Linked DNA regions of Lonchura striata. The protein of the gene in region 4 purifies or fractionates together with the protein of the main gene of each other region. This does not show direct contact. Links are inferred from orthologs where the notes say so. Each region holds a gene or a part of one and is shown on either strand. Other genes may lie near its edges. The genes, in order: CTNNB1, YBX1, CUL4B and EZH2.

The links.
Region 1: the proteins of EZH2 (region 4) and CTNNB1 purify together in Homo sapiens (affinity purification with western blotting; 4 studies listed by BioGRID, with this or other methods). This does not show direct contact. The link is inferred for Lonchura striata from reciprocal best matches to the Homo sapiens genes EZH2 and CTNNB1.
Region 2: the proteins of EZH2 (region 4) and YBX1 purify together in Homo sapiens (affinity purification with mass spectrometry, with the first as the bait; 3 studies listed by BioGRID). This does not show direct contact. The link is inferred for Lonchura striata from reciprocal best matches to the Homo sapiens genes EZH2 and YBX1.
Region 3: the proteins of EZH2 (region 4) and CUL4B purify together in Homo sapiens (affinity purification with mass spectrometry; 4 studies listed by BioGRID and IntAct, with this or other methods). This does not show direct contact. The link is inferred for Lonchura striata from reciprocal best matches to the Homo sapiens genes EZH2 and CUL4B.

Annotation. Positions count from the first base shown.
Region 1 is NC_134603.1:112,027,343-112,034,280, reverse strand, and holds the start of CTNNB1 (catenin beta-1), read right to left. Parts: upstream 3,008-6,938; 5' UTR 2,889-3,007; intron 1-2,888. UniProt on the Homo sapiens protein: Key downstream component of the canonical Wnt signaling pathway.
Region 2 is NC_134626.1:8,504,115-8,511,907, forward strand, and holds the start of YBX1 (Y-box-binding protein 1), read right to left. Parts: upstream 3,002-7,793; 5' UTR 2,839-3,001; coding exon 2,682-2,838; intron 2,360-2,681; coding exon 2,296-2,359; intron 1-2,295. UniProt on the Homo sapiens protein: DNA- and RNA-binding protein involved in various processes, such as translational repression, RNA stabilization, mRNA splicing, DNA repair and transcription regulation.
Region 3 is NC_134616.1:9,129,913-9,137,383, forward strand, and holds the start of CUL4B (cullin-4B), read right to left. Parts: upstream 3,015-7,471; 5' UTR 2,369-3,014; coding exon 1,834-2,368; intron 1-1,833. Other genes in the region: MCTS1 (malignant T-cell-amplified sequence 1), read left to right, coding at 6,453-6,463, 6,929-7,081.
Region 4 is NC_134603.1:107,631,269-107,638,633, forward strand, and holds the start of EZH2 (histone-lysine N-methyltransferase EZH2), read right to left. Parts: upstream 3,018-7,365; 5' UTR 2,858-3,017; intron 1-2,857. UniProt on the Homo sapiens protein: Polycomb group (PcG) protein. Catalytic subunit of the PRC2/EED-EZH2 complex, which methylates 'Lys-9' (H3K9me) and 'Lys-27' (H3K27me) of histone H3, leading to transcriptional repression of the affected target gene.

The DNA.
Region 1 (6,938 bases), about 4.4 Mb from region 4:
CTAGCCAATTCAATTGGTGCTTAACTGGAAAATCAGAAATATTGCCCTTTCAGGAAAATAATTTTATATAAAGAAACAAGAAGAATTACACACAATACTTACTGCCAAGGAGTTTACCATTTCTGGGTTCCCACCCAGTCAGCCAGCAAAGCACTGGGCTCAGAATTTGCAGGTGCATGTTCTGAGGACACAGAAGCAAGACACAGCTGCCTGCAGTTTCTCACAGGTTTTACCAGGCTTTGTCAAGTAAGATGTTCAAGATAGGTAAGGTCAGTCCCGATTTTCCTGCCATGGTATGCAGGCTACCACAGTCACAGAACAAGTTTTGCTGCAGGCAACTGCATGATCACCACAACCCCAGCATTACCAGTTTAACTTTGAATTAAGGTAAGTGATTTTGATTACCGATGTATTTGCACACCAGTCTGCCTACTAGACAATACTCTACAGAAACATCCTTATCCAAGAGTTTCAGACAGCACACTCAGACTTCAATTTCTGAGACAGAAGCCTCCAGCAGCCATATTTCCTGCTCTATTCTTTCCACTTCCCTTTCCACTCCTGAAAACACTGCAAAATCAGAACACCACTAGTATTAACCTCTTGCCTTAACATCCCCAAAAACTCAGAACTCTTCAGAACATGGTATTTCAGGATGCTAATCCAGATGTAGAGTCACTACAGATGGACAGATGTTTCAGAAAAAAATAATTTCGTCTGAAGGGCAACCAGGTTTCACAGCCAAGGTTTGGTAAGCTACTTACTGACACATCACAGTCAGAGCAAAATGCTGGTGTCCAGAGTAGACATACACCATGCAAAGAGCCCATTCTATTTATAGCTTAGGCAAGAAAAACGAAGCTTGGTTTGATAAGGCTGTAACACAGAATTTGAAGAACTGATTTTTCCAATCAAGCTTTACTTTGCATTAAATCCTTGCTCCTGGAAGCTATCGTGCATGGCATTGTCCTTTCCAACATGGTGTTTGTACTTGTCTCCTAGACTTTGTGGAAATGATCAGCCATACAGACCAAACATTCCCCTGGATATCAGTTTACACCTAAATAGAAAATATCTGAACTAACAGACAAACAAATATGACATTTATTTAGAACAGCCTCAGAACAATGAGACATTCAGTATAATTTTGAACTGAACAGTTGAATTTAGAGAGCCTCAAACTCTTGCCTGAATACCTAAGCAGCCTCATTTGCAACAGTACCAGCCATTAGACAACGACACAGCAGTCACATACCTGCAGCTGTCAGCACCTTTTTATCAAAAGTGCAAGATCAACATTAGGTTCCTGGACTGTTACGTATTGAAATTCACATTATAACTTGGGCCAATACACACCACTAAGTTTTGCCGCTTAGACTTTTTTCTTGGAGCCTCGCAGCAGTATCTTTTTCTCATTTAGAATCAAAATCATAACTAGGAAGTTGCTGACTGGTGTGTCCGAACTTAGATCAAGAAAACCCTGACACTCTTGCAACTAATTTTCTCGTCTTTGCTTTACTGTAGTCTCAGTACATAAAGATCCTGTTTTACTAAAACCCCTCCTTGATTTCCGTCCGTCGACCTCAGCATACCAGCCCAGCCTCTTTCCATTCACCACTTGCATACTTTGGGGGATGGGAGGACCACAGATGTCTGGAATATACAGAGTGTCAGAACAATGGCTGCTCCATGAGAAAGAGATCAAGAAGTAGCTGATTACAAAGATCAACACTGCTATTCCTAAAGTCACAAGTAAGTTGCTCGTGGTACCTTCACACAGTCTGTCCTTTCTTTCCAGTTAGGATAATTTTCAGAGGTTTTTGGAAAGAGACACAAAAAGAAACGACCCAACATCCTACATCGAGTTTTAACTAGGGAAAAATGTAAGGTTTTGCTACATTTAAGAAAACTTGCTGCTCTAGGAGCAGCTAATCATGCACAAAAGAGACGAACTAAGCTTTGTTAAAAAAAAAAAAAGAACAAACACCAAAAAACAAACTAAACCAACAACAAACCACAACACCCCAGGAGACCCTGTTCCTAGAGAAAGAAGCGCCCTAGACAATTCTGGGAGTAACCGCGAGTTGATCTCCACAGCTCGGGAGCGCGGTACTTCGGGAAGCTGGAGCCGCCGTGGTCCCCCAGCCGGCCACGGGAAGCAGCGGGCGCTTCCCCTCGCAGCGTGGGAGCCCCAACACCGCCCGCAGCCCAGGTCGTTCCCTGCAATACCCTGGTAAGGTGGGTGTTAAAAAACTTAATTTGATTGCTCCCAGCTCCGGGAAAGCTTCATTTCGGTGACACCCAGAAGCAGCAGCACAGCCTCTCCGGCAAATATGCAACGCCACTAAAAGCGAAACCCCACAAGGCAACAGATTAGTTATCTCCCGCTGACTGCAGTGACCGTGATTAATTATATTCCGTACAAATAAACCCGTACCCTGCTCTCTTCCCCCTCCTATCGCCAAAGGGGATCTGATACCCAACAGCGAGTTAGTAGTCCCCTAAAAAGGGAGGGGGAAGAACCTCTAAAATAATAATAAAAAAGGGCCATTAAAGTACTCCGGACGCTGCTGCAGCCGAGAGCAGAGGCGGGCGCATGGGCTCGCCTTCTCCCGCCCGGAGCAGCCACCCCCTCGCCCCAGGACGAGCTTCCCAAGAGACTCCTCGGGAGCCGCAGCTGCCGCTCCTGCAGCCACGCAGCTGTCCGGACCTCCCAAAAACAAGAGCCCTCTCTCTCTTCCTTTCCTGCCCCCCCACCTCTCTCCCACCCCCGCTCCCCCCTCCCCCAGCCCCGTCCTTCCCGCTGGGCACTCCCTGGACCCCCTGACGGCCACGGGGGTGCCCGGCCCGGGTTTGCCCGAGTTCCCGCCGGAGAAAGCGGCACTAACGTCGGAGGAAGGGAGAGCTCAGGGTCCCTCCAGGCTCCGGCGGCGGCGGCGGCTGCTGCTGCTGCCCGGGCGATCCTGGTCCGGTCCGTCTTTCCTTCCTCGTCCCCCGCCTCCTCCTCGCTCACGGCGGTGCCCCCGCCGCTGGCTCCGGGTGGCGACCGTACGGGGCGGCGGTGTTCGTGTCCCCCGAGCGCCGCCGCCGCTGCTCCCAGCGCCGAACCGAGCGAGAGGCTTAAAATGGCGTCGCGCACAAGGAGGTTCTTATAGCGAGCGGCGGGCCCGGCTGTGTATCCTGCCGCCGCGGCCGGGCCCCGCGCGCGGCATTCCATAGGCGCCCGGCGCTCAGGGCAGGCAGAGGGAGGAGGAGAAATAGTGCCCGGCTCCCAGGGCGGAGGGAGACAGGGAGCGGGGAAGCGGCGGAATGGGGGAAGGCCGGGCCAGGCGGCGCTGGGCAGGGCTGGGCAGGGCTGGCCGGGGCAGGGGGAGCGCGGCGGAGACACCTTATTCCGGAGGTGGGAAAGAAGGATCCTAGTTCCCGGCTTGGGAACGAAGTTGCTGCTGCCCTGAGGGGTGTGGAGGCGGCGGGGGAGGGGATACGACTGCGGGGATCAACCCGGGGTCCTGCTTTGGGAAGGGGAGCGGTGGGGGTGGGGGGCAAAAGGCGCGTGTCACTCCCTCTCTCCTACTCCTTTCCAAACCCCCCGTTTAATCTGGAGTTTCGTTGCCTGGGGTTTTAATTTTTTTTTTTCTTTTTTTCTTTTTTTTTTTTTTTTTTTTTTTTTAAGTGCACGGCACCAACTGTAGCGAAACTCCGTCTTCCCAGACGCCCGCGCCGCCACGTCCGGGGGATCTCGGGCTGCCGCGGGAAGTCGGCCCCGGCTGGGACGGGGCGGCCGCCGAGCCCGGCCCGCGGCTCGGCCCGGCAAGGCGGCGGAAACGCGCTCCCGCTCTGCCCTTGTAAATATTTGTCAGGAAGCAGTTGCCAAAGAAAGTATCTCGTTATGCAATTTTTTTTTTTTTTTTTTAAGGGAGAAGCGAACTTCCCTTCTTCACCCCCCTCCACACACACACACCTCCTCCTCCCAGCCCTCCCCTCGCTCCTTTAGCGATTCGTAAAAAACAGGAAAATACGAATTGCACAAGGTTTTTTCGCGGCGTGTGAAGGCACGTCCGCGGCGGCCTCTTCTCGGCGTGATCGGGCTTGCACAGCAGAATGTTTTACAGACTTTTTGCGTGCATCGTCTTGCAGTGGCAAAGTCTGTGTTTAACATACCAGGAGGGAAAAATACATTCACACCTCTCTCCACATGAAACAAGGACCGAATATACAACGTGGTTATGGGAAACATCCATTGCCAGAGCCAAAGATGTATATTATTTTGTTCCCCCCGCAGAATAAATTTGCTTTGGCACGGGCTGATGTGGGAGATTGAATTCTTTTTTTCCTTCTTCCAGTCTCGTCCCCCACCAGCCCCCAGTTTGTGCAGTTTTTGCAGCAGGGAGATGCGCGGTTCACATGGGGACTACCTTTATGCTTGTTTTTTCCCACTGATAATCCAGTTTTAAACAGGCTCTTAAGTTTCTAGTTAGAAAGTTGCAATTAAAGATTTGGTTTTTTTCCCCCATTGATTTATTCAGTCAGATGTAGAGTTACTCTAAGGGAACCTCTTTCACAGTGCTGCTTGATTTTCACATAAGCTGCTTTCTTTTGAATTTGGAGCTTTTTAAAACAGGGTATTTATCCTGGGCTGGAGGTTTGTTGGCAGGATAATGTAAGGCTTGCTGCATACAAGAGACAAGGTGGAACTGGCATGGGTGACAAGGGGGCCACATCCAGTGAGGCAAGTGCCGGAGAAGTGTTCCAAGGGTGGGTTAGCTGTTACTACTCCTATGGCATTGGAAAGGCAGTGGTGATAAAAAAAATCCTATTTTCCTCCCATTACCCCTGCCACTGCAAGGCATAGCAATCATTCACCCACCAGCCTCCCTCTGCTATGGGCAACCTTTAGTGCCCACTAGTAAGGAAAAGAAATGCTACTTGGACAACCCTGAAGTTGGAGAATTGAGAAATGCAGCTTTCCTGTTTTCTCCTGGGACAGTTGCCCGTTCTGACAATACTGGTCAAAAGAGGGGCAAGAATGAGGGTGACTGTTGGCAAGAGCTGGCAAAGAAAATTCTGCCAGATCAGGCCAGTGGACCGTGAGTGTTCATCATCTTCCTGGGGAGTTATTTGGTGCAGCTATGAGCAGAAGGACCTTGTTCTTGACACCAGAATTTTTATCCCAATTTAAGATAAGAGCCAGAGAAAGTATTATTGAAGATTGTCAAGCAATAAAAAAAGAGAAAAGGGTGTGGAGGGAAGAGTTAATTTCTTTATCCACCTTCCTTTCTCAGCTGCCTTCTTCTACAACCTTCAGAAAATCTGCTCTGCCTCGGTTTCACCCTCTGTAAAACGGGAATAGTAATACTGACAAACCCCTCCTTTTAGATCCCTGGATCAAAGGTACTATATAAGTTCAAAGTGCTGTTTCTATAGGGCATTATTGCCAAATTCGCTATAAGCAATTCCATTGGGTACTTGATAACAACAGTAGAATCAGTCAAATGCCCTTGATGTATTGCATGGTCCCAGATACCTTTCAGAGGCTCTTTGTGTGCCATCCCACCCCCCGAGGTCTGCAGGGATGGGGCTTTTGGAGCCTGGATTTTGCAGGAGCAGGAAGGGTGCAGTCCATGTCTCTGCTTCTGGCCCCTGAACTGTGGACCGCTTTTCTTTTTGACCTGACGAGGACAACTGGAACTAGACCTTTTAAAAACAGGTTTAAAACATACAACTTATATATATATATTTAAATAATATATTGGCCTTTAGTACCTAATGATTAACTCTTGTTGATTTTTGGATGCTTTACTTCTGCATGGGTTGTAATTTTAATCTCTATTTGTTTCGCTGCAAAGTGGTTAGGATACTTTTGCATCTAGTCACATTGCTTATAGAAATTTGGTTCATATCAGCTTTGCAACTTTTAGCTATTAGGTAGCTAAACATTTTCTAAAATTGTACCTTTAAAAAATTCCCAAACCCCTACTTCAGAGAAACAATCTTAATAGCCGAATTGAAATTACAATTAACTTGTCGCTGTTCTCTCAATTATAAAAATGTTTCTAAAATACATTTTATATTCCTAATTTTTCTAAAATGCAGTGTGTAAAGTTCCACTATCAAAACAAGAACAGTAAATGTTATATGGAATATTACAGTACAGGGCTCCATCAGTAAATTCACAAACGGTCCAGTTATTCTTCCTCTTCTACTTTTTTTTCCTTTCTTCCCCAAGAAGCACTGAGTGTGTCTGTGCAGCTTCAGAAGTTTCCTCTGAGCTCTTTTATACTTTAATAGGTTTGTTTTGGTGGCAGTTTACTAGAAGAGTATGCTGCAGACATATTTTTTTTTAAGAGGTCAAGCAGTCTCCTAACATGTCCATTGTGTATCCTTGCAGTAAGAAATCCTCAGTGCAAAGGAGAGCTTCATGGTTGAATTTTAAAAGATAATGATTTAAATCTTTTTGTTAACTTTTTTTTCATCCTTAGCACTGCTTTTGTAGACTCCACTTTTAGTACAGTAAAAAGTAGGAAGCCCCTTAATTAAAATAAGAAACAGTTAAATGTAAACTTAGATGGTCACCTTTCCTTCTAAAATCCTGGTGTTTAACTTTGTTTATAAGGAACATAGTAACAAATGAGTAGCCATGGTACTAATATGAGGACAAAGCAAAATTACCAATTACAGAAATATCTAGGGCTCTGGGCCTGAATCTGTGATTTCCCATATGGATCTTAAAAATGTATGCATAATTGGCTTCTAACTGTGCATGCTCTAGGAACATATTCAAGAATCAACTACAGATATTTTTTTTCAGACACTGACTAAATATATATTCACTTGTCAGCAAAAAGATACATAATTCTGATCCTCTTAACCAGAAAGAAAAAAATAAAAGGAGTCTTCTTCCAGCAAAGTAAGGTTGTAGTGTATTAAAAAAGTCACAT
Region 2 (7,793 bases), on a different chromosome or scaffold from region 4:
CCTCAAAGGTTACTGGGAAAAGGCAGCCGAGCAGAGCCATTCTGATATCATCTCCAAAGCCCCAAGAATGCAGCACTCAGAAGCCCTTGCAAAGCCAAAGCTGAAAGACTCTTCTTCAAAACACAATGTCCAAAATGCTGAAAACCTTCGCAAGAGAATAGTAGCATGTTTCTAGTAAAAATGCTGAGCACCTTCCTTCATCATCAGCTAAAAAAACAGTGGTAGGAAGTGCTCATCCACAAATGTGGATACCTTGTACTTTTGCCCAGGTTGAATTTTGGACAACCAGACTGGATACTTATTTTTAAAATCCATTTGCAAAGCAGTTTCCATTCAAGAGGACATCAGAGTTTTGGCTCGACAACTGACGAGATCACACAGGGCTCACTGAATCAAGCCATTTTACAGCCCCACGCCATTGGCCACATCACTCCCAATGCTGTTTTCCAGCAAGCACATCTGGAAGCAGCAAGCATGCTGCCGTGTGGATGATGGAACAACAGGACCATCACTTTTTCAAAGAAAATTTGGAAGGGTACAAGAGGAACACCCATTCTAAAGGCCAAACAATTTAACTGATCTTTGCACTATGCCACTCTTCCACTCACATCTTTTATCCACTAAAATATATTAGAGAAAGGGAAATAGATAAGCAGACAAAGAAGATGCCAAGTCCAGCAGGGCACCAAATACCATGCCAGACAGTGCAACTCCAGTTATGGTACAGACCAAGCCAGCGGATTTGGCACATCAACTTGTTATTTTGGCAAACATGAGAAACAACCATCAAAGACCCAGAATTCAAACTCCTTCCTATTTTGTAACAGAATCACACTTCTAACATTAAAAAGACTCAGAAAATACCTGAAGTGAGCATGCACATACCTCAAAGCTCATTTCAGTTCCATAGTCTCATTTTATTTGAAAGCAGACCTGGCTAAAGCAAAGCCATGCAAGGGCAGGAGCTCCTGCACAGCTTCCCTGCAGCCAGGTAAAGATTTCAGAGCTGAGGAAATGTCCTCCCCTTCAGTTACCAGCCTCTAATCTCTTGATAATATGAGATCATGCTGGGTTTCTCATTACAAATGGCAACCTCAGGGATTAAACAGCTGCCAAATTAATGACTGGGGAAGCTACTTGGATGTCTCAACTAGCTGCTGCTGCTGCTTCCTTGCTTGACTGACACCACAGAACATTTTCACTGCTGAGGGAACAGGAAAAGCCTTCCCTCGAGGTGGGGTTTGTGGCTGGGACTTGGGAGGCATTTCCAAGGCCAGAGACAACAGCTCTCAGCACTGGTGACTCCACAACACTGGGAACTGAAGCATGGCATGATGAACAATGCAAACTGGACAGAATGGGAGGCAGGTTTGTAAAGCTGCAGACACAGAACTAATTCAGGAGTTTAACAATTTAGACTAGTTCATAAAGTAACAGGCAGTTCCAAAAGGCAGTGTTTAAACCAAACATAAACAAAAGTTCCAATAATAACACTATACTTGCTGGCCTAAAGGGGATTTCCCAGTACACAGCCTCATTCTGAGACTGGGGAGTTTAAGTACCACAAAATAAGGGAAACAGCTCTAGCAACAGTCCAGGGAGCCCCCCTCCAGCCAATGGAGCCAAGAATTGCCCATTTTCTAAAAACTTGTTTGCAGAGCACTTCCTCTCCTTGACAGACCTACTTCAGGTACCTACATACTTCTCAAAGCGTTCAAATTAGTCTTTCACATCAACTACTGTCACAAAAAGAATCTTCTAGGCACTTGTTTCATGAGACCAGTCTGTGCACTTGAGTGTGGCACTAGAATGTGTGAACTATGCTCCTTTTGCTCATTTTGCCATATGCTGACAGTGTCCTCATTAGAGTGTGTTTAAACTACCAAGTGCTAAAAGCAATTTTTACTTGCATTGACTGAACTTTACGCAGGAGTTTAAATGTGTGCTGACAGCCAGTGCACTTTTATATCTTTAAGGGGGGAAAAAAACCCCAAAACACCATAAAGGGATAGACCATAATGTAAGACACATCGCCATGGAAACAGACTCGCTTCGAGAGCGCAGCTCTTGCCCAGGGTTAAAGGACTCAAAAGCCAACCCCAAGGAAGCCCCAAGCAGGACAGAAACCCCGGGGTGGAGAAAGGGCGAATCGTACCAGCTCCTTCTACCAAGAAGGGCGAGAGGCGGCAAAGGCACCACCACTCCCCGCCCCCGCCTGTCACCCGCGGGACACAAGTGCCGCGCCCCCCTCCCCGGGGCTCCCCGTGACAAGGCCCGCCGCGTCTGGGCACTCACCTGTTGATGAAGCCGTAACCGTTCCTCACGTTGAACCATTTCACTGTTCCCAAAACCTTCGTTGCTGCGGGAAGGGGCAGAGTGAAGAGGGGAAGGAGGGGAGGGAGCGGCACGTCAGGGGCACGTGGCAGGGCGCGCGCACAAAGGCCCCGCGTGGCGGACATCTTGCGCTGCCCCGCCCCCACCCGGCACGCGGGGCCGGCGGCGCGCGGGGCGGGGAGGGAGAGGGGGGCGACTAACGGCCGCCGCGCGAGCGAGGACACGAGCCGGGGGCGCGCACAGCCCCTCCGGGCGGAAGGGAGCGCGCGCCAACCTCAGCCATGGAGGGAGAGAGGCAGTGGGATCGGAGCTTCCCACCCCACCCCGGGACCCCAAGCTGCCCTCACCGATGACCTTCTTGTCCCCGCCAGCGGGAGGTGCCGCCGAGGCCAGGCCGCTGCCCCCGTTCCCGGTCCCACCGTTTGGCTTGGAGTCGGCGGGGGCGGCGGGGGCCGCCGGGGGGACGGGGGCGGCGGGCGGCTGGGTCTCGGCCTCGCTGCTCATGGCGGCGGCTGTTCGGTGCGGACGGTGGTGGTGACTGCTGTTTGCGCCGCCTCCCGCGGTGTGATGGTGACTGAGGCCGGCCGTGGGGGCGGGGGGGGGGCTGCTCCCTGCTCCGGGCTCGCTGAGCTCCGCTCTCCGCTCCCGATACCGATCGAACTGGCCACAATGGCGGCGCGCACCGGTTAGTCACCCCGCGCGCCCCGCCCGCACGCGCCGCGATTCGCCATCCGGCCCGCCCGTTAAACGGAGAGCGACCCCATTGGCCTTTCCCCAACCCGCCACCGCCCCCCACCGAAAACCTATTGGCGACGACACCTGCCTTTCCCCAAGAGCGCGCGCCATTGGTTGCTTCGCCCGTGGGTGCCAAGCCAGCTTTTCTCACCGGGCGACCCGGAGTCCCCGCCCCCGCCCCTGATTGGCCCTTCCGGCCGCCGCTCCCGCCCCCACCGGGCACGATCGGGGAAGTGCGCGCGACCATGCGCCGGTGGCTTCTGTCCGGCGCTGTCCCCGACCCCGCTTCCGCTCGCTGGAAGACCCAGGGCAGAGCGATCTTGCGGGCGGCTCCCGGCCTAGCGCGCCGGGGGCGCCCTCTCCCGTTAATGATTGCCAGAAGGGCCCGGGAGCGTTAAATACCAGTGGGAAACGACGGATTTGGAGCTGTCAGAGCTCCCCAGTCCATGTCCGGATGTGCAGTAACAGCACTGACCTGACCCGCGGGGAATCAGCTTTTCCCTAGACATCGCATCCTTCCCTCCCTGGAAGGGCGGGAGCAGCTTCTCACCCTGAGCCCTTCTACCCACTCAGGCTGTCGGAAAAGCATTAGTGCTGGGTCCTTTACCCTGCTAGAGTCTTTCTCCAGCCACCATCTCTCAGCACCTCCTTACCTCTATGGATTCACCTTACAGCGGCCTGGAGGTACCCGACATCTCTTGCAGGGTTCCCCAAAGGGAAGGTCCCGAGGAAACCCCTGTCCTTGTCCAACAAGTTAATTTTCCTTAGTTGAAGAATGTGGTTGGTGGCCACATTTCTTGCTTTGGTCATGTCATTCGTCTGACATGGGAGGAGAGAAAGGTCATCAGCAACCACTCAGAAGGTCTCTGGGAGATGACCCACCACTCCACCATTTTTGCAAGCAACACGTATCCCCTTGGGATCAGCCCTTTCAGCACTGCACACAAATCACCATCCAGTTCACTATCCCAGTTCCCTACATTCCACCCTGGCCAGGTGAAGGACTCGAATGAGGCCAAGCTCAACCCACCACATCAACCCACTAGGAACATTGGTCTCATCCTGCTCCCTTGGGAACTCTTCCACCTGATCTTCAACTCAGTTAATGAAGGGAAGGGCTTGAAAACAATAACACAGTCCCACAGGATCAGCACCAGGATGATGACCTGGATAAAAAAGCTAGAATGATGTCAAAATTGGATGCTGCTTAGTGACTGCCATAGTTTTGTATGAGAAAAAAAAAAAAACTATTTAAAAAGGATTAAATGAACTAAAAATTTTAAATTTCATTTCTTTACATAATCAGTTTAAAAAAAGTTATAAAATAAAGAAAAAATATTCTAAAGATTTTAATTCTTACTATCTTTTTCTTTTAATTAGTGTTAATAAAATTTTCTTTATACCTTTTAAAATTTTAAGCCTACTTTACCATTCTCCTAATCCTATCTTCCTATCTCACAAGAAGAAATAAATACATAAGTGATTAGCCAACACTAAAACTCATCACACTCTTCAACACATTAATTAAAAAATCTCAAAATTAAAGAAATCTTAAATTAACAAACCAAAACCACTTCAGTGAGTCACCTGAAAAATAATCTTACTATAGAATGCAAATTAGGGAATACACCAGGCAGCCACCCATGAGGAAGAAAACTCCAGGGAGGAAATGTGTGGGAATGTCAGAGCCATGCACCTACAGCCAAAACTGTGGACCCCAATGATGTCTTTGTGGAGTAACACTGTGAAATCCAAAGGCAACTCAGACCCTCAAGGAAATGCACAGGCCACCAGAAATACCATCTCCAGCTGCAGCATCCACAGTTGAAGGAAGCTGACAGGAGTTCCATCATCTCCTCTACAGGACATTCCAGGATTTGCTACATACAACACAAGGGTGACACCATCATGGAGGAATTAAAACAAAAAATGTGGTTTTTGAGAAGACTTTCAGCCAGCAGGTAACATTCCACGTTTAAGGGAAATATAATGGGATGTAATTAGCCATTGTAATAACAAAGAGGTAGTAATGGATTTGCCACTCTTAATTAATCTGGGGAAGCTCTGTGACCCCTTTATGCAGGAAGTGAGGCCAGGTGGTGGCAGTGGTATAAATACATCAGGCTGAAAAAGTGCTGCTAATCCTGGACCAGAAATAAACTTGTTTCCCTGGTGAAAAAATGGTGAATTTTTTGAATGGTGAATACCAGCAGCCAGAAGTGCAAACCTCAGCACAGCACTGCCAGGCATAGCTCCTTGAGGCACCTGAGCCAGCCTGTTGAGAATCTTCAACCCTCCTCTCACAGGAGAGCCCTCTGCAAAGCATGTGTGGGGCTGAGGAAGAAAGGACTGGGGTGCTTGTGCTTCTTTTATCACCTGATGTTCTGCAGGTACAAAGTGACATGCCTCAGGCTGGAGAGAAGTGAGTGTTCTCAGCTGCTGTGCAATTCTAGGAATGAGGACGTAGGAATCCTGACAGCCAGAGCCTTCTCCTAGGATTTCAAAGAGCCATGAGAGAAAAGAGCACAGCTAAGCCTGTGGGAACTTCCTCCAGCCTATCAGTGCTGGGCAAGGCTCAGGTCAGGCAGAGAGTGCACCCTATACCCACTGCCCAGGCACAGTTGGGATCTTTCCACATGGGATGAATCACCTGCATGTGACAGAACAGACTCTGTCCTAACTTTCATCAGGTCCTTTACCTTTAAACAGCTGGATGAGAAGTTCCTGCTGGAACCCAGCACTGTGTAGGGTGCTGGCTTGTCCCCTGCCAGGAGGGTGAGCTCCCAGCCCTGTTCTGGAAGAAAGGCAGCCTCAGCTGCACTCTCCTCACTAAACAGGACAAGCAGCCCCAATTTCATTCCTATAGCATCACCATTCTGTTTTTCCCAAGCCTGCTCCAACACCCTTGTAAGTACTCAGGTGAACCCCTCCTCCAACATATGTGGCACATAACAGCTCGATGACTGAAAGACCTGTTTACATCAGAACTCTCCTCAGAGTGTAGCACTCACGGTGATGGAATCTGTGCTATACCAATTCCTCAGTTCTGGAGATTCCCAAGATGTGCCAACAACCTTTCTGCCAGCCAGGCAGTTGTAGTTACCTGCCGAGTGAAAGAGCTGGTGCAGCACAGCTCTACCAAGCTCCTTTCACCCCTTCTTTCAATACCAATCAGTAAATGTTCCTGACTAACTGGCCAGGGACAATGCATGTTGCTGAAGATGTTACAGCCCTTTTCACCTAGAGAAGAATCCATTCCCACTAATGCTAATTGATGTGCACTGCACATGTTTAAAAATTTTTTAATTACATTTCAAAATGTAAAAAAAAAAAAAAAAAAAAAAAAAAAAAAAAAAAAAAAAGCCCATTATTAAATAATTTCAGGAGAACATCAAGAGGATGGATCTGGCCTGTGGAGAAGTCTGGGCAGTGGGTGAGCTGGCTGGAACTGGAATTGCTTGGAGCCAGCACAGGTCTAATCACCAGTAAAGGAACACTGAAAGGAAGAAGAAACATGTAAGTCTAAATGCTGGACAACCATTCCCAACAGATCCTACAACAGCCAGGCTGTGCAGTAATACTGGGGGCCACACAGCAATTTTAAATGCATGCCAGTTGCTACACACACAAGCTTCACCAGCTTTCATCATCCAGAGAACTCAGGAATCCTCCTGGATCTGCCTGTCAGGCAACTGCATCTACTTCTGAAGTTAAAAGCAAGAGTGCCTGTTTCTCCCAGCTGATTTTCAAGGATCTTGACAAGTAGCTGATATAGCTTTCTGACGTCAGGCAATGCAAAAGCTGTTCTTGTTCCCAGTCAGATGAGAGACATGAGAGTGCAGCAAGGCTGTTCCTAAGACCTGTTAGGGAAATAAGTAAGCTGGCACCAGCATTGCACCTATGAATGTGAAGCTTCCAGGCTCAAGCTGGGGATTGCCAGGGACACAGTACTCCAAACTAAAATGGTAAGAAAGTCTGGGATGGAGTACAAATCTAAAGGAGACCTGACCCTTCAACACAGCTCTGCAAGAAAAGAGACAGCCTTACTAGCAGACTTTTTTCAAAAGCCTGTAAATGCCACCAGAAGAACCAGGGGAATGGAAGAATGATTACATTCCCTGTTGAAACTTCATCAAATAGCAAGAGCTCCCAAGAGTTTGAAGTGCTGCAGGTCTCTAAGACTTTATTACAAAAGAGGGAACATTTTTGCAATTCCAGTTGCCTTTGGATATAATTTAATGGAAGGTCAAAAATTGTGAGTATTGTGAGTATAAAATTGTGAGTCCAAACTGCCTCCTGAAATTTGGAAAAAATCAGCAACCAAAAGGCTAATACAGCAGATTTTTGACAAGCTGCAGCCCAACACACTGAAATCTAGACAGATTTAAATACCTGTAGATTTTACAGTAAATTGAGCTAACAAATGGAGACAGAACACTTACTGTATGTTAGCCTGAGACTATTGGTTTAACCAATATGAAACCTAAGTAACAGTAAATAGTGAAAACATCTCTTTTCAGATAGAGGGAGTGGTACTTTTTTCAAGTCAAGGTAAGACTATGCAAAATGGTAACTCCTTGGTCCTTCAGTAGTGTCAGTCCTACAGCGGTACTGAGCAAGGAGGCTCAAAAGTCCTCCCTTTCTCTTCTCCTTTTATTGATCCCTGCCTGTCCCACCCATGGATAGTCTGATTTTTGTAGTTTTTTGGAAGTTCTCCAATCTGC
Region 3 (7,471 bases), on a different chromosome or scaffold from region 4:
TTCTTGTAACTACCCAAAGTGACCATTTTTGTTCTAATAAGGACATTCCTAAATGGAGAAGACAGAAGAAGAAAGTCTGAGAAGGAAGATGACATATGCACATCCATGCTACCAACAGGTGAAACTGGCCCAGAGTTTATACTCTATTAAAATTGACTTTTACACACCTACAAGTAAAAAACAAATTTTAAAACTTTACGAATTCCATAGAAATAATTAAAAGAGAGAAGTAATTATTTTGTTCTTCCAAGCATTTTTGTACAATACTGGCAATATCCCAAACATTAGCTGCCTGATCTGGATCTAGAGACAACTAACCATGGACTTGCCTATTTTCACTAACAACTCCTGACTATGCTCTGAGCAATCAACACCAAGGTTATGGATTTTACGAAGTTATTTAAGTTGTAAAGGATGTCATTGTTATCACACTAAGAGAAGGCAAATATCTTAATAATGTTATTCAGTTTAGCATCTGAGATAAATAAAAAGCAAAGCTGTCAGAATACCAAAACATCCTTTTTAAGCAAGTGGTTCAAATACCCATTCAGAAGCAATGATCACAGTACCATGCAATCCGTGACATTTAACAGGTATTTTAAAAGTGAGAAGTTAACTTCCCTTAAAGATTACAGTGCACAAGGAACTGAAGAGCAGCCTATAATGCATCATAGCTTGGTATTTTAAAATAATCAGTCAAATTAAATTATGATGCTTTGATGGGTGGAGAACATTTTTGAGAATTGGAACCTTAAAGCAAAGAGTTACAGTGTGATCATGAATTCCTGCAAAACCATTACTAATCCTTACCTAATGCAACATGTCTACAGAAGATTTGTGTCAATTGTGTATTTCAAAATTAATTTTAATTTCGGTAATATCTTTTACCCCTCCACAAACCAAAATGCAAACAAGCCAGGAAAGCAAGGTAGTGGACTATTTTGGAAGCCAGCAAGAAGCAGGAAATAAAAAAAGCTCACGATCGCCTCATCTTCATAGGGAAAAAATGGCAGCATTTTAGCTAAGCTTTCTGCCTACCTATTTGTATTTTTGTTTACTAGAAAATAAAGCAGCATCACATCAGAAAAGTTTAATTTCTCTACTTCACCTTGGTCTCTACTAACACTACTAAAAAATCTCAAATGTGTGTTTGGAAAGAATTTATAAAATAAAGTAAACTTCTAAAGTAAGAGTAAGCTAAGACAGAGGAAAGATACTACAATTAAAAATGACAGCTTTCCATTAAAAGGAAAAAACTGCAAAAATCTGAACTATCTACTTTAAAAGCAAGTGGGGAAACCTGAAAGGAAATCCACCATAATAACCCGATAATCACCTTAGTTTCAACATTTAAAGCTAAGCACATGAAGATTATCCTATAAACAGACAACAAGGATAGAGATAAGACATGCAGATTCAAGGCCAATTAAAAAAACCCCCACATTCTATGCAAAGGCTTATCATAAACTGGGCTAAAATATACACTAAGCTCTGAATCAGAATTACTAGAACAACGGTATCAAATGTTAAAACAAAGGCAATTTAACACTTAGGCAGTAAAACCTTACACCTAACATACAAATGAAGGCCTTCTCAAGAGAAAGAATGGAGTCTGAAAAATAATTCCAAGCAGCAAAGTGTAGCTCAGGATGTGTACATGACCAGGCAAGCACACATCAGAAATCATGATTCCCCTTTACATAAATATGGAAATGTTCAGCACAGAAAAGCAATTCCTGCAAAACCTGGGGCTATTTGGGCTTTCAGGCTGAAAACAAATCGCGAAGTCGAGTGTCAGCTCCCCACAGGTTGTGACAAATTATGGCCTGTTACCTTTAAAGTTCTTGATCACTAATTTCTTGGCAGAGCCAGGTTTACTGTTGGCGAAACTGGAAACAGTAGAGGAGGCAGCTTTGGTCAGGCCATTTGCATGGTGCCCCACAGCCACTGACGAAATTAAAAGGCTTTTATTTTTAAGCTGTTGCTGGTGCTGCTGCTGAGAAGAGGCAGCAGGAGAGGAGGAGGAGGAAGAAGACTCTTCAGCCATCTTCACATCGAGTCCAATAAAATCCACGGAGTCCTCAAAGCGCAGCTTCTTCTGGAGGTGATGGTTGGAGGAAGCAACCCCTGAGGAGGAGCACGAGGAAGTGGTGATGACAGAGGAAGATGATGAGGAGGTGTTTTTGGAAGGAGAAGAGGTGCAGGAGGAAATGGAATCAAATTCTTCTTTTTCGGAATTACTGTTGCTGCTGTTATTTAGCTTTCTCTTCTTGCAGGAGGAGCTGCTGCTAGTGTTACCATCAGTGGCAGGTCTGACCTCCTGGGCTGCAGCTGGGGGGTTGGGGGAAGAGAAACCTGTGGGAAACATGAACACACAGAAGTGAACAGGCTGAGGGGCATCAAATCCTTGTGGTGTGACAAAGAAGAGGGGGAGAGTTTTAGAGTCAGTCTCTGTTTACTGTCTCGGGGGGGGGGTGGGGGGTCTTTCAACTCCTCCTTCTCATCAGTGAAGTCCTTCCGTATTTCTTCTCCTTCGCGTTTTTCTTTATCGGAGGAATCACTTTATCTCCTCTTCCCTTTTCTTTATTACTTTGGTTCTTCCCGTAGTTTGGCGCTGCCTTTCTGCTTTTACTCCTTTCCCAGCGCAGCGTTTCCGTTCCTGCCGCCCACCAGTTCCTTTCGGTTCTCCTCTCCAGCTGCAGAATTCCCCACGGCTGCCCGCTTCCCCGGCTTCTCCTTGCGCTCCCCTCCTGCTCCGGCCGCCTCGTCTCCGCCGAGCAGCAGCGGGGAGGGCTGAGCGCGGCTCCCTCCGGCCTCGGCTCCAGCCCCTGGCCCCACCCGCTCCCGCTCCGCCCGCGGCCGCTCCGCTCGGCCCCGCTCGGCCCCGCTCCCCCCTCTCCGCTGTGCCCGCGCTCGCTGAGGGGGGACGGCCCGGCCGGGTTGTTATTGTCACTGCACGGCAGAGGGAGCGCAAAAATGGCGGCGCATCCGCCCGCCGTGCATGACGGGGCGCGGCGCACGGAAGCGCGGCCGGGAAGCGCTGGGACCGCCCCGGGACCCGCCCCGGGACCCGCCCCGGGATCCGCCCCGAGACCCGCCCCGGGACCCGCCCCGGGACCCGCCCCGGGACCCGCCCCGGGACCCGCCCCGGGACCCGCCCCGGGACCCGCCCCGGGACCCGCCCCGGGACCCGCCTCCGGCCCCGCCGGCGCCCTCGGCCCCGCCGGAACTGATCGTGGCTCGGTGCCCCCCGCGCCGGCCTGGGGCCGCCCCTGGGGCGGGAGTGCGGGACCGGGGAGTGCCGCTCCGGGGCGTTCCGCTCCGGGGCCCGTTCCGGGGGCCCGCCCGGCCTCAGGCGGCCTCACCCGGCCCGGCCCCGCCGCAGGCTCGGCCGCCGTCTGCTCGTTCCGCCGGAGCCTGCGGCCTAGGCCCGGGCCTGTTAGCTAAGCCTGTTAGCTTGGTCTGGAAATGCTTTTTGTTACACTTATTTATAAATAATTTAGCGTCAGCTGTTTGATACGATTTTAATACATACTACTTGCACTGGGCTACAGTCTATGGTTTGCTTTTCTTTTGTTTATTTTGTAACTTTTAGAAACAAGAACAGAAGTCCTGGGCCTTTGGAGTCTCCTTTTTGATGTTGGTGGTTCTGTTGCCAAAGGGACTGTAAACTCCTGAGGAATGTTGTTAGGGTTCAACCACTGCTGAGAAATGGCTGTGGAAAAAGCAACAAGCCAAGTGATGAGGTTTTGTTCCAGGAGATTCTCCACGGCCTTCACCAGAGCATACCTTGTACACCAGGCAGCTCCTCAGGGGAAAATCTAGTGGCACTTTTATGTTGGATAGGAAAACACAGACTTAATTCTCTTGACAGAAACTGGTACATGGAATGTAATGTCACTAAAGCTCTTCTGGAGTATGTTTTATGTCTGAGTCACTGTCAGACAACTCCTGAGGCCTGGAATGTCATGCTAGTGATGTGTAGAAAAGCACTTTTTCCAGTTGAAAAAACGCCAGCAAAACAAAGCTTCAGTCTGGCTTTGACTGGCTTTAGAAGAGATTGTATGGTTCCCAAGGCTACTAAATTGCATTCCAAGTCGGATATAATAGAAAAAAACAGGTTTGCCAAGTAAATAAGTTATGTGAGTATGCTGTAAAATTTTCCTCTGTTCCCCAGTAACTGTCATGTTCACTTAAGCCAAAATAGATAAGAGGTCTAGAGATGTAAGAGATGCCAAATTTCTACACATTCTTGGTTCATTGAAAGGATTTGATTTATAAAAAAGACATGAGTAAGAGTCCCTTTTCCTGAAGTTGCTGTCTATGCAATCATTCAGGGGTGGGACAGTCAATGACTTTGTCCCATCAGTTAGAATATTCAGCTTTTGGATGTGAGAGAGCAGGTGGAGGCAAGGTAAAGTTCTGGGGATCCAGGAAGAAGTATGATGGATTTTCCCCCTTTTCTACCAAAACTTATGGGGAGTGAAATCCTAAGTCCTTTCTATTTAGCACATGATCCTGAGGGGTGGTTTCTGTCAGAACAGTTGCTGGATGTTCCCCCTGCTTTGTCAGTCTTGTCCAGGTACCATGCTTTTAAAATTTTGGTACTTTTAAGTGACTCTGCAACCAGATGAAAGTCTCCAGCTTTTTTGTGTTGAGGCTGAACAGTAACACTGAGAGCTGTGTTAATGAAGTCCAGCCTAGGTCCTTGGAGCCTTCTTCAGAAGTCCTCTGTACAGGCATGTTTAGATTGACTGAGCAGTTACCTACCCCAGCAAAAAGCATTTGGAAGAGAAGGTGGAGAAGTTGAGACCAGACTAAAGGTTAGCTCAGCCTGAAGGGAACCAATGGTCCAACTGCTTGAAGGTAGTAAAAGTGTAGAGGTAAGACCTTCCTCTTGACAAAGGCATTTTTTGAAAATTTGGGCCTAATCTTGCTGTTTTAGGCAGACATGAAACTGGTGGCTCAGGTGACTTCAGTGAGATGTGCTGTGTTTCTCAAGAAGAGTAGAAGTTTACCTTGTGTTTCTATCACTTGAGGTAGAATATGATGAATTTTTCATTACAGTTTTAAAAAATGTGGTTGTTTGCATGGCTAAGTACTATTTGATGAAAGTTTTTCTGAGGATCACCATAACGTATGGAATAGTTTTTCAGTGTGATTAACTCCCATTCTCATTTTCTAATCCTGGGGATGAGCAGTGTCACTGTGGTTCAGTTAAAACTGAATTCTTGATCATCACTCAGTATTTTTGGGGATGCTACAAAGTAGGTGAAGGTGGCATTCATAAGTGAAGTGCTTGACTGTTTATGTAATGCCATAGTTCATTCCTATACTTTCAAAAAGTTATTAGTGTGTTTGTTCCCAAAGCTGTACTGCACTATTTGAATGATACCATGTATAATGCTTGATTTTACTTTGGCAAATATAACTTTTAAGTATTAGGTTTTAATTACCTGTTATAGTATCAAAGGTGATGAAATTGTTTTGTATGGAAAAAAGAAACTCGGTTGTTAGCATAATGATAACCTGATGTTTTATATCCTCTCCTCCCTCTCCTTTATCCTAGTGTTGGCATTTCCATGACACTAAAAAGAAACTGGGTGATCACCTCTATGTCTGTTTATGTAGCAGCCACCAGCCTAAAGAACAAACACAGGTCTGCTCCTCAGAGAGTGAAAAAGCAGTGTGGTAAATTCTGTCTGCTATGGTTTTCTATTCACAATTGCGGCGGCCATCACCAAACAAAACCTAATTTGATTCTGATACACTCCACCAGATCCATCTGTCTGCCTGGCAGCTGAGATCTTCTCTGGAAGCCAGGTTTCTGCTTCCTCCCCACTTTGAAGATGTGGTACTGTCACCTGGGACCGATTCCCTAGCCGGGAACAGTATCTGCTGTTTGACAAGAACTCTATTTTTCCCCCCAGAATACTGTTGATAGTATCTCGTGTCCTACTCTGAAGCTGGCGTGACGATAGCTTCTGCTCTGCTAGTTTGAAGATGGCTGTGTTTTTTTCCAGATAAACGTATTTTGTGTTTAAATAATGCCAGCAGCTAGTAGCACTTTGCTCTTCTTATTTTACCAAAAAGCGATACATTACCTGGGAAACCAGCGCCGTGCCTGTAAGTAGCAGGCGCCGGGCTGCTGTGGGAGGTTAATAACAACGCAGTTGTGCAAGGGGCAGCGGGCGGGCGCGGCCCCGGCGCGGGCGCGGCCCCGGCGCGGGCGCGGCCCCGGTACCGGGGCCGCGCCCGCGCCGGGGCCGCGCCCGCGCCGGGGCCGCGCCGCGCTGCCGGCTGGCCCCGCCCGTTCCGCGGGGATGGAGCGGCGCTTCCGGCGGGCTTGGAGGGAGGGACGGCCCGGCCGGAGCCGCGTGTGAGCAGCGCCCAGGCTGTGGGTGCCCGCCGGCCCCGGCCCGCCCGCCCGCCCGGCGCCCCCCGCCCGCAGGATGTTCAAGAAGTGAGTGCGGCCGGGCTGGGGCCGCGGGAGGCGCGGGGGAAGGGAAGGGAAGGGAAGGGAAGGGAAGGGAAGGGAAGGGAAGGGCAGGGCAGGGCAGGGCCCGGCGCTGCGGTGGACGTGAAGGATTCGCATCGGAACGGGGCTGTGGGTGTTTGTGGTACCAGCAGAGTACTCTCGGAGTTGAATAAAATAGCGCTGTGTGCCGGGCTTAATGTGTGAGACTAAACACGTGCTGTGGCCGTACAAAAAGTTTAGGGATGAAGACAGGCTGCCCCGCCTTCCCCCAGCCCAAGTGTTCCAAGGGGGCAAATTTAAGCTTCATGAAATTTCTGCATTTGAAAGTTGGACAGTCAGTCTGCTATTAGATTTTTATAGTGAATTTATAAGCATTTCTGAAGACAGCTGCTGAAAAATGCATATTTTATGCAGAAAATTATGCATTTCTAAAATGCTTTCATTTGACAGATTTGATGAAAAGGAGAATGTATCAAACTGTATCCAGCTGAAGACTTCAGTTATTAAAGGTATCAAGAATCAACTGATAGACCAGTTTCCTGTTATTGAACCATGGCTAAACCAAATCATGCCAAAGAAAGATCCAGTTAAAATAGTAAGATGGTAAGTATCTCTTCTCTTAAACTTTGCTTTCAAGGTGCTAGGATGGCTTTCTTTGTTTACTTTGTACAGTAGATAAACCTAGCACTTTTGATGGGCATCCATCATCTCTTAATAGATAGTCCGTGTTATGGCCAAACCAGAAAGTTGGCTTGTGCTCATTTTGCTTTAAAGGCACATGCTAGTAGGATGCTTGAGGAACTTAAAAATCTTCCTAGTAGCTAGTGTGCAGTGTATTCAGGGTCTCTCCAAGGACCAGCCTGTTGTTGAAGGGAAGCATTCAGCTTGATGGACATGGAAGCACAAAATTGTTTGGATTCCCGTCAGTAACATTTTGTAGTATTTTCAGGCTTCCATGTATTATCTTGATTATTTTCCCTTTTTTTAAATAGA
Region 4 (7,365 bases):
ATTCCCCCCAAAACTTCACAGATACTTTTCCTCAAATCAGCTAAGATCCATCTGTAAGTACTAACAGTAGAATTACAGAACTTCCAGATTACAGCCAACACTAAAGTTTTTCCACAGCACTTTTGCTCAAACACAATGTAAAGTAGGCATTTATTATATGTGCCTTCTGTCAGTGCTGCAGCCATTTTAAGAAATAACTCTCACTGTTCAATCACATGAATATAGAACCTTCATCTAAAATTGTTACTCAGTTTTATCATTACAGCTGAGAACTTACTAAAACACATCCATAATCTATACAGGCACAGAAACTGAACAGTTTTGTGAATGGTGACAGAGCACTTCTTTTGATTAATTGCAAGAGGAATTTTAGAGTGCACCAACTTTCCTGGGAGCACTGTTGGCCTGCACCAGATTCTAGATGTAGCTTATTCTGACATAAGCTTCTTTACAGAAAGTGGCTTGCAGTCTCTCTATATCTAACACAGCTCATGCATTCAATAATGCACTATAAAAATTCCCTTCTCCCTAAGCCAAAGTTTCTTTGCAGGTAAGAAGTAGCACGGGAATATTTACATTTCACTTATGAAGGTTGCAATGTTACAGAACAAACAAAAACCAGTTTGAAAGCATGTCTTCAAAGAAATCACCATATTTTAGCTTGTTGGCAGTTTTAGCAAGAAAGGAAAAAAACACAGCGGGGTGGGGGGGAACGCTGAGCTTGAATTTCAGGTCTCCGGTCTAAGCTCACACACCACCACTTCAGCTCATTTTAAACTGAACGGTGACATTTTATGACTTTTTGAAGGTGCAGAGTTTCAGCGTCTGCCACTTTTAAAGGTGAAATTACATATTAAAAAAATCTATGAAAGAACTCTAAATTTCTTCCCAATTTTTTTCCTAAATTAAAGTCTTGAATCCTTCCAAAGTTCCAGACAAGAATAGCAGTTGGCATCTCATGGAACATTATACTGTCACAGATTTCTGCACAGGTTGTTTAGCTTTAATTGTTACTTTAATTTCTCATGGAGGCGGAGGAAGGAAAAAAATATTTTTCCTTTTTGCTTCTTGCAAAGGAAACTCCAGAACAAGAAATGTGACGTTTTTATTTAGTACTTTGTAAAAGTACTAGGTCTTAAAATCATTCAACACATCACAGAAAACTTTTGAGTCACATCTCCTAAAATACTGAAAGGGCATTTTCTGAAAGACTTAGTACATTTCAAATAGTCACATTTTAATAATCACTAGTGAGCCTAGTTATTGTACACTATGTACAAGTAATACCCATCCTTCTGCAGATACTTGATTGTTACCACAAATAAACATTCCCAGGACTCTCAATTTGATATAGACACTGGGAACAAACAAGGAATTACCTTTAAATTTTTATAAATTGCATAAAGAATCTGAATGTGCCAACCCCCCCCAAAAAATATTAGCCTATCTTTGAGAAGAATCCCCACCTAGATGTGAAGATCACACTAAACGTGCTGGCAAAAACTCTTTGCTGAAATCTGTATTAGTAAGAACCAAACTCACAATAGCTGAAAGTAGAGTTGCTAGACTTAAGAAAAGACAAACCTATCCTGCTAAAATTAAATTACCTTCTCCAAACTGTTACGTGCTTCTCATCAGAGAGAATAAGAATCTGAACTTCCAGCTTTAGAAATTTAAAAAACTTTTCTCTTGCTCAAATAAAATCAGTATGGTGCTTTGTAAGTTAGAAAGTATCTCGAATAATGTACAAGTTTGTTGTCCCATTCCTGCCGCACATCTGTGCACGCGTTGCTTTTCTTTAGTGTATGAATAACAATTTTGGAATCACCACGAAGACCTGGTAATGTTAAATACATGTGCATGATGCCACAACACACCGATTTCTTTATCCAACCACACATTTGTTGCTCACGGACGGCTCAGCCCAGCACTCTCCTTCACACCTCCCCAGACACCCTACCTTTAAACAGTGCTCCGTATCGCCGTGCTTGGCGATATGAGACCCAAAACCCCGGAATTTTCAGCTATTTATGAACTTTCTCCCGGCGCTCTGGAAGATCGGGATCGCACGGTGATCTCCACGATTAGGAAGTTCGCCGGAGCAGCCGCCAGACCGAGCTCCCCCCCGGCCCCTCCCGAGCTCTCTCCCTGAGCCCGGAGCGCCCCAAAGCCGAGGCGGGACCCCCAGCGCAGCCCCGCCGTCCCGCGGGCGGGCGGCCCGGGCGCGCTCAGCCTCCCCGCCCGGCCGGCCCCGGCTTCCGGGAGCCCGGGCGGACTGTCCCGGCTCCCGGGAGAGAGGGACGAGCTGCGTGCCGCGCTGCCCACGGCGGGCACACGGCTTTCGGGCGCACGGCTTTCGGGCTCGACACGCACGCACACCTCCCTCTGCCCGCGCCGGGGCCACCGCCGCGTGCCGCCGGCTGGAGCGGAGAGGAGGGGAAGGGAATCGCCGGGTCTGCCCCCCGCTCTGCCTCCCGCCGCCCCCGCCCTTCGAAGGAGTGACGGCGAGCTCGCCCCCAGCCCGGGCGTGCGCCCCGCCGGGCGGGGACCGGAGCCGCCGGCCGGGCTGGACGGAGCCAACTTAGACAAAGGGCACTCCAGACTCCATGTCTCCCCCCTCCAGCTGTCACCGGCCGGGAGCCCGCGTGTCTGCCCGCCGGCTCCCCGCGGGAAGGGGACGCGGCTGCTCCCCGTGAGCCGCCGCCGCCGCTGCCCCCATCCTCCCCTTCCTCCCTGCCGCCCCCTCCCCTCCTCTCCTCCCCTCCCCCATGACAAAGGACCCGGGTATAAATAGCCGCTCCCGGCGCCGCCGCCGCCTCGAGCCCGCGAGGTGTCGCTCGCCCGCCCGCTCACTCACCCGCCCCCCCGCCGCCCCGGCTCCGCGCCGCCGCCGCTCCCGCCGGTGCCGCCGCCAGCTCCGCTCGGCGCTCCCGCTCTGCCTCCCTCCGCCTCCGGCTGCCGGATTCACCCTCCCGGACCGAGCGCCAAACACGCCGGCCCAATCGCCATCGCGCTCATTGGCGAGCGCCGAGCGCCGCCTCCATTGGACGGGCGGCCGCGGCCGGGGCCCCGCCGGGCCAATCGGGCGCGGCGGCGGGCGGGGCGCGGGGCGCGGCCTCGCTCCCCACGTGCGGGGGGGGCAGGGAGGGGTGGGGAGAACTCTTTGTTCTCGCGCTGCCCGCGCGGGGGGACGGGGGGCTCGCGCTCCCCCCGCTCCCGCCGCCCCCCGCCCCCCGCGCCGCGCGGCGGGGCCGGGCCCGGGGCCGCGCCGCGCCGGGGCCGCTCGGAACTCCGCGGCCGCCTCACGTGGAGAAGGGGCAGAGGGAGGGGAAAGGGGAGGGAGGCGGGCGAGAGGATTGGCGGGCACCGGGAGGGGCCGCGCTCCCGCTCCCGCTCGGCGCCGCTGCCGAGTTTGAATCGGTCCGAGAGCGGGAGCGGCGTAACGGCCGTAACGGTCCCGGGGGCGGGAATGTCCGGAGCGGCCCCTCCGTCCCGCCGCCGCTCCGCCTGTTGCGCCCCCGGCGCCGGAGCTCAGCCGCGGCAGGTCACTCCGGCCTTCCTCCGTCTTCAGCAGGGAAAAATAAAATTGCCAAGATAAGTTTTGCTAGCGGGTACTTAGCCCGTCCCTTGCGACCGCATCCCTTTCCGATGCGCCCCGCATCGAGTGCTACTTCCGAGACACACTGGAGCCGTACCCTTGCTTCCACAAGTCCCGTCATCCTTCCTTACCAAATATCACCTCTCCTCTTCCTTGTGGCTACCTCAGCGCATCTTCAGGGGCAGAAGTGAGCAGCGGCCACTGTAAGGGGGTTCTGACTAAGAAAAGTCTCTCACGGAGGAAATAAATCACAAACGCGCCCACATCGCCAGATCATGCCGTGGGCTTGCGTGTCTCACAGACGTGACACGTAGGGAAAACGAGGATGTATCAGCCCTGGAGGCTGGGGACAGCCCACGCTGGCGGGGCAGCCCCGCCGCTCCCCGGCGGATGTCTCGGCCGGCTGAGTCACTTTGCAGCGCTGCTGCTTCGCGTCCGCCTCTTTGACCTTTGCTTGCCCAAACTTCACCGCCGCCAGCCCTCCTTCAGCGCATCGCGCCGGCGGCTTCCTCTCCCTCGCTGCTCCGCATCCAGCGCGGCTTCCCCCTGTCGTGGGGGGATGTCATAAATCGCAGCAGCCGCAGCAAAGTGCTCTCTCCGCATCAGGCTCGCATCCTGTTGCTCGCTACGTGCTGTCTCCAGCCTCTAAGGCTGCTGCTGTTTTCCCTCGTTTCTAATCCACGAGCCGCGCTCATCAATCTTGTTGCCGAGGTTGTATTTAAAACTTGACGGTTCGTGCACCTTTTTACTCTGCCGTCGTCCTGCTCTCTGGTCGCTCCAGCCTTTACTCTGCTTCAGCAGAGAAAAATAAAATTGCCAAGATAAGTTTTCTAATGATACACTTCACCTCCCTTGTGACCAGATCACTTTCCCATGCGTCCCACATCGAGTGCTACTTCCGATGTGCGCTGGAGCAATCGATACATGGTTGTTTCCGTCATCCTTCCTCACCAAATATCAGCTTCCCTCTAACTTGTGCTTCCTAGCGCTACCTTAGTGCTTCTACAGGGTCAAAGTTCAAAAAATGACCAGTGGCCACTGTAATGAGGTCCTAAGTGATAAAAAGTTCTTGCAGGGAAATAAATCACAAATGCACCTTCATCCCCCAATTAATGCAGTTGGCTTATGTGCCAAGTGAGGCTTGGTGTTCTCCTACTTAAAGGCAATGTACTTGTGTGTTTTTATAGTCTCTTTCTATGTGAAAGTACTTAAAATTTCCGGGCTTCATTGTGTATTAAACTTGGAGTGAGGTCTCAAGTGTGGGCATTCCCACTCTGGATGTTCTTGATTTACCTCATGGCCTTGAAAAGGTGTTTCTAATAGTATCTCTTTTTTTGATTTTTGTTTTTGTTTTTGTTTTTGTTTTTTAATCTCTGGGGTTTCATGAGTTACGAGCAAAAAGCACGCAGCAGAAATTATTTCCTATTACAGTTACATGTCATATTGTGGTAGATAGCTATAACCTTCCTCGCATTCTAGTGGAGTGGCTGACAATTGGGAAGATTGTCTTTAAAATATTACATTTGAAAAATATTAGTCATTTCTGGAAATTCAGCTATTGTGAATCTATTCTACCCCAAGATGGCTGCCACCACCAAAATGGCTACCCAGTCTCGTCACAATTTAGGTTTTGTAATTTATTTTGATCCTTCAAGATGCACTTCATGAGATCTGGTTTTGGTCAACAAGAAAAGTAATAATTGCTAGATAAGGGTGAGGTAACTTAATGCAGCAGATACGCTTAGCCACAAGGTGGAAAGATCTGCATTATAGAACCTACCCTGTGAACTAACCTCAGCACTGATCACATCCTTTTCCTCTCTTGTACAGAAGATTATTCATCTGCTGTACCTGAAAGTGATGCTTACTAGAAAACTGTACATGTTTTGAACTGAGTTACTGTTTCTTCTTTGCACTGTACAAAACAATCTCTACACCAAGGCTCCATTCTAGGCTCTTAAAACAATGAACTCCTGTCAAGAAATTCTATGAGGTGCTGATTTCCTGATCCGTAGTTCAGGCTGCCTCAAACCTCCTGGAGAATTTTGGTAACAGTTTGATTCTCTACACAGGAGTTTAATGTTGCAACAAGCTCCATACAGACTTTCTGTTTTCACAGAATAAACCACCCAAATGGTTTTCTGTTTCTGCTGTATTTCTGTGATTAAAAAGCAACTATTTGAACAAGGATCTGTATTATGCAGAGACATTCCAATTGGATCTTTAGGTAAAAATAGCACAACAATTTTTGAAATAATTACAAAACCTGGTATTTTGAGGAGCCTTTCTCAAAGGAGTGAATTCTGGTGGCAGCATGGTACAGTGCTTTTGAGAAAAGTGGCTAACATTGAAGAAATATACACATGTTACATGACAATTAAATAAAATCAGGCTCAAGAAAAAAGTATCAGTTTTAGACCCTTCTGGAACTGTTGAAAGCATTTGCCCTTTTTTTATAGCTAACACACTGTAGAAGAGCATTTTCTATGTTTCCAGCATATGAATGTAACATGTACATTCATATTGCATGTATGACTATGTAGAATAAGGATTTGTCAGTGCTAGATCACCAGCATCAATTAGACATAAAAATAATTGTTTGACAGCATCAGGGTATGATTGCTTCCATGGGGGGATCCTTATGTGCTTCTTTCACCCTTTAAGGAGTGGTATTTGAGTCCAGGAAAAAGAAGGGGCAAACAAAATTCTGCTGCAAAGCAAAATTAACAGTTAAGTGGTTTCTTTTAGATATTTTTAATATCTGAAAGAAGGTGTTATTTCTAAAGCATAGGATATTCTTTATGCACTATTATCCCAAGATTTCCTTGTAGTTAGAATCATATGGTATTTCTTCCCGTCAGGCTTGGGGGACCAAGCCAGACCTGTCTGGGAACTACCTCGGCCTGGAATAACGAGAGATGTTGGCCAGTTTTCCCCTCGCCCACCCGTTTTTTTCCAGGAGAGGCGCAGCAAGGCTGCCCCCAGCACTGGCAGCCCGGAGCAGAGACGCCGGTAGCTGCATCTGTAATTCTTGTAGATAAGCTGGTGACTTGCTGATGGCAGCGTCGCTTTCCTTTGTGCTCCGGAATGGCAGCGCAACAAAGCTGCGTGCAGCTTTGGGCTGGCTCTCTCCGTGGCGCGGGCTGCTGGCTCCACGGATCGGTCACACAGCCTCCAGAGGTTCAGCCTGCTCGTGCTCCAGCTCCCGAGCTCGCTGGAAGGGAGGAAAGGAGGATGGAGGGGTAGGTGTAACCCTGTCCTGGTTACACCTACCCCTACAATCAAAGCCGGTAGCACTGCAAGTAGTATTTCATCCCGTAGAGCGTTTAGGAGCGTGATCTTTGTTTCTTGGTGTTTTCCTAACCCTGTACTTTTACAGAGACCCTAGCTTGTAGTGTGTCTGAAATTCTGCATTTTGGTCCATGTGAATTTGATGAGATTTTACAAAATGTTTACATATGTAGAAATGTAACTACAGTCTAAAATCTAAAGTAAGTACAGTCTAAATCTGTAATAGCATTTATCTCTTATGCACGGCAATGAATACACAGAAATCAGAATATTAAGTGGCATATCATAAAAAGGCATATCAGAGACCCTTTTAAAGTATTGGCCTCTTGTATCATTATTATAAAAAAAGCAGGGAGTTTGTGTTAACTTTTAACAAGAAATTAATGACTATGTTTTGCAACTAGCCACTTTGAGATTAGCTATGTTTTCAAATGTTTTACATTAATATCTTACTGGTATGTATGGACCAATTTCCC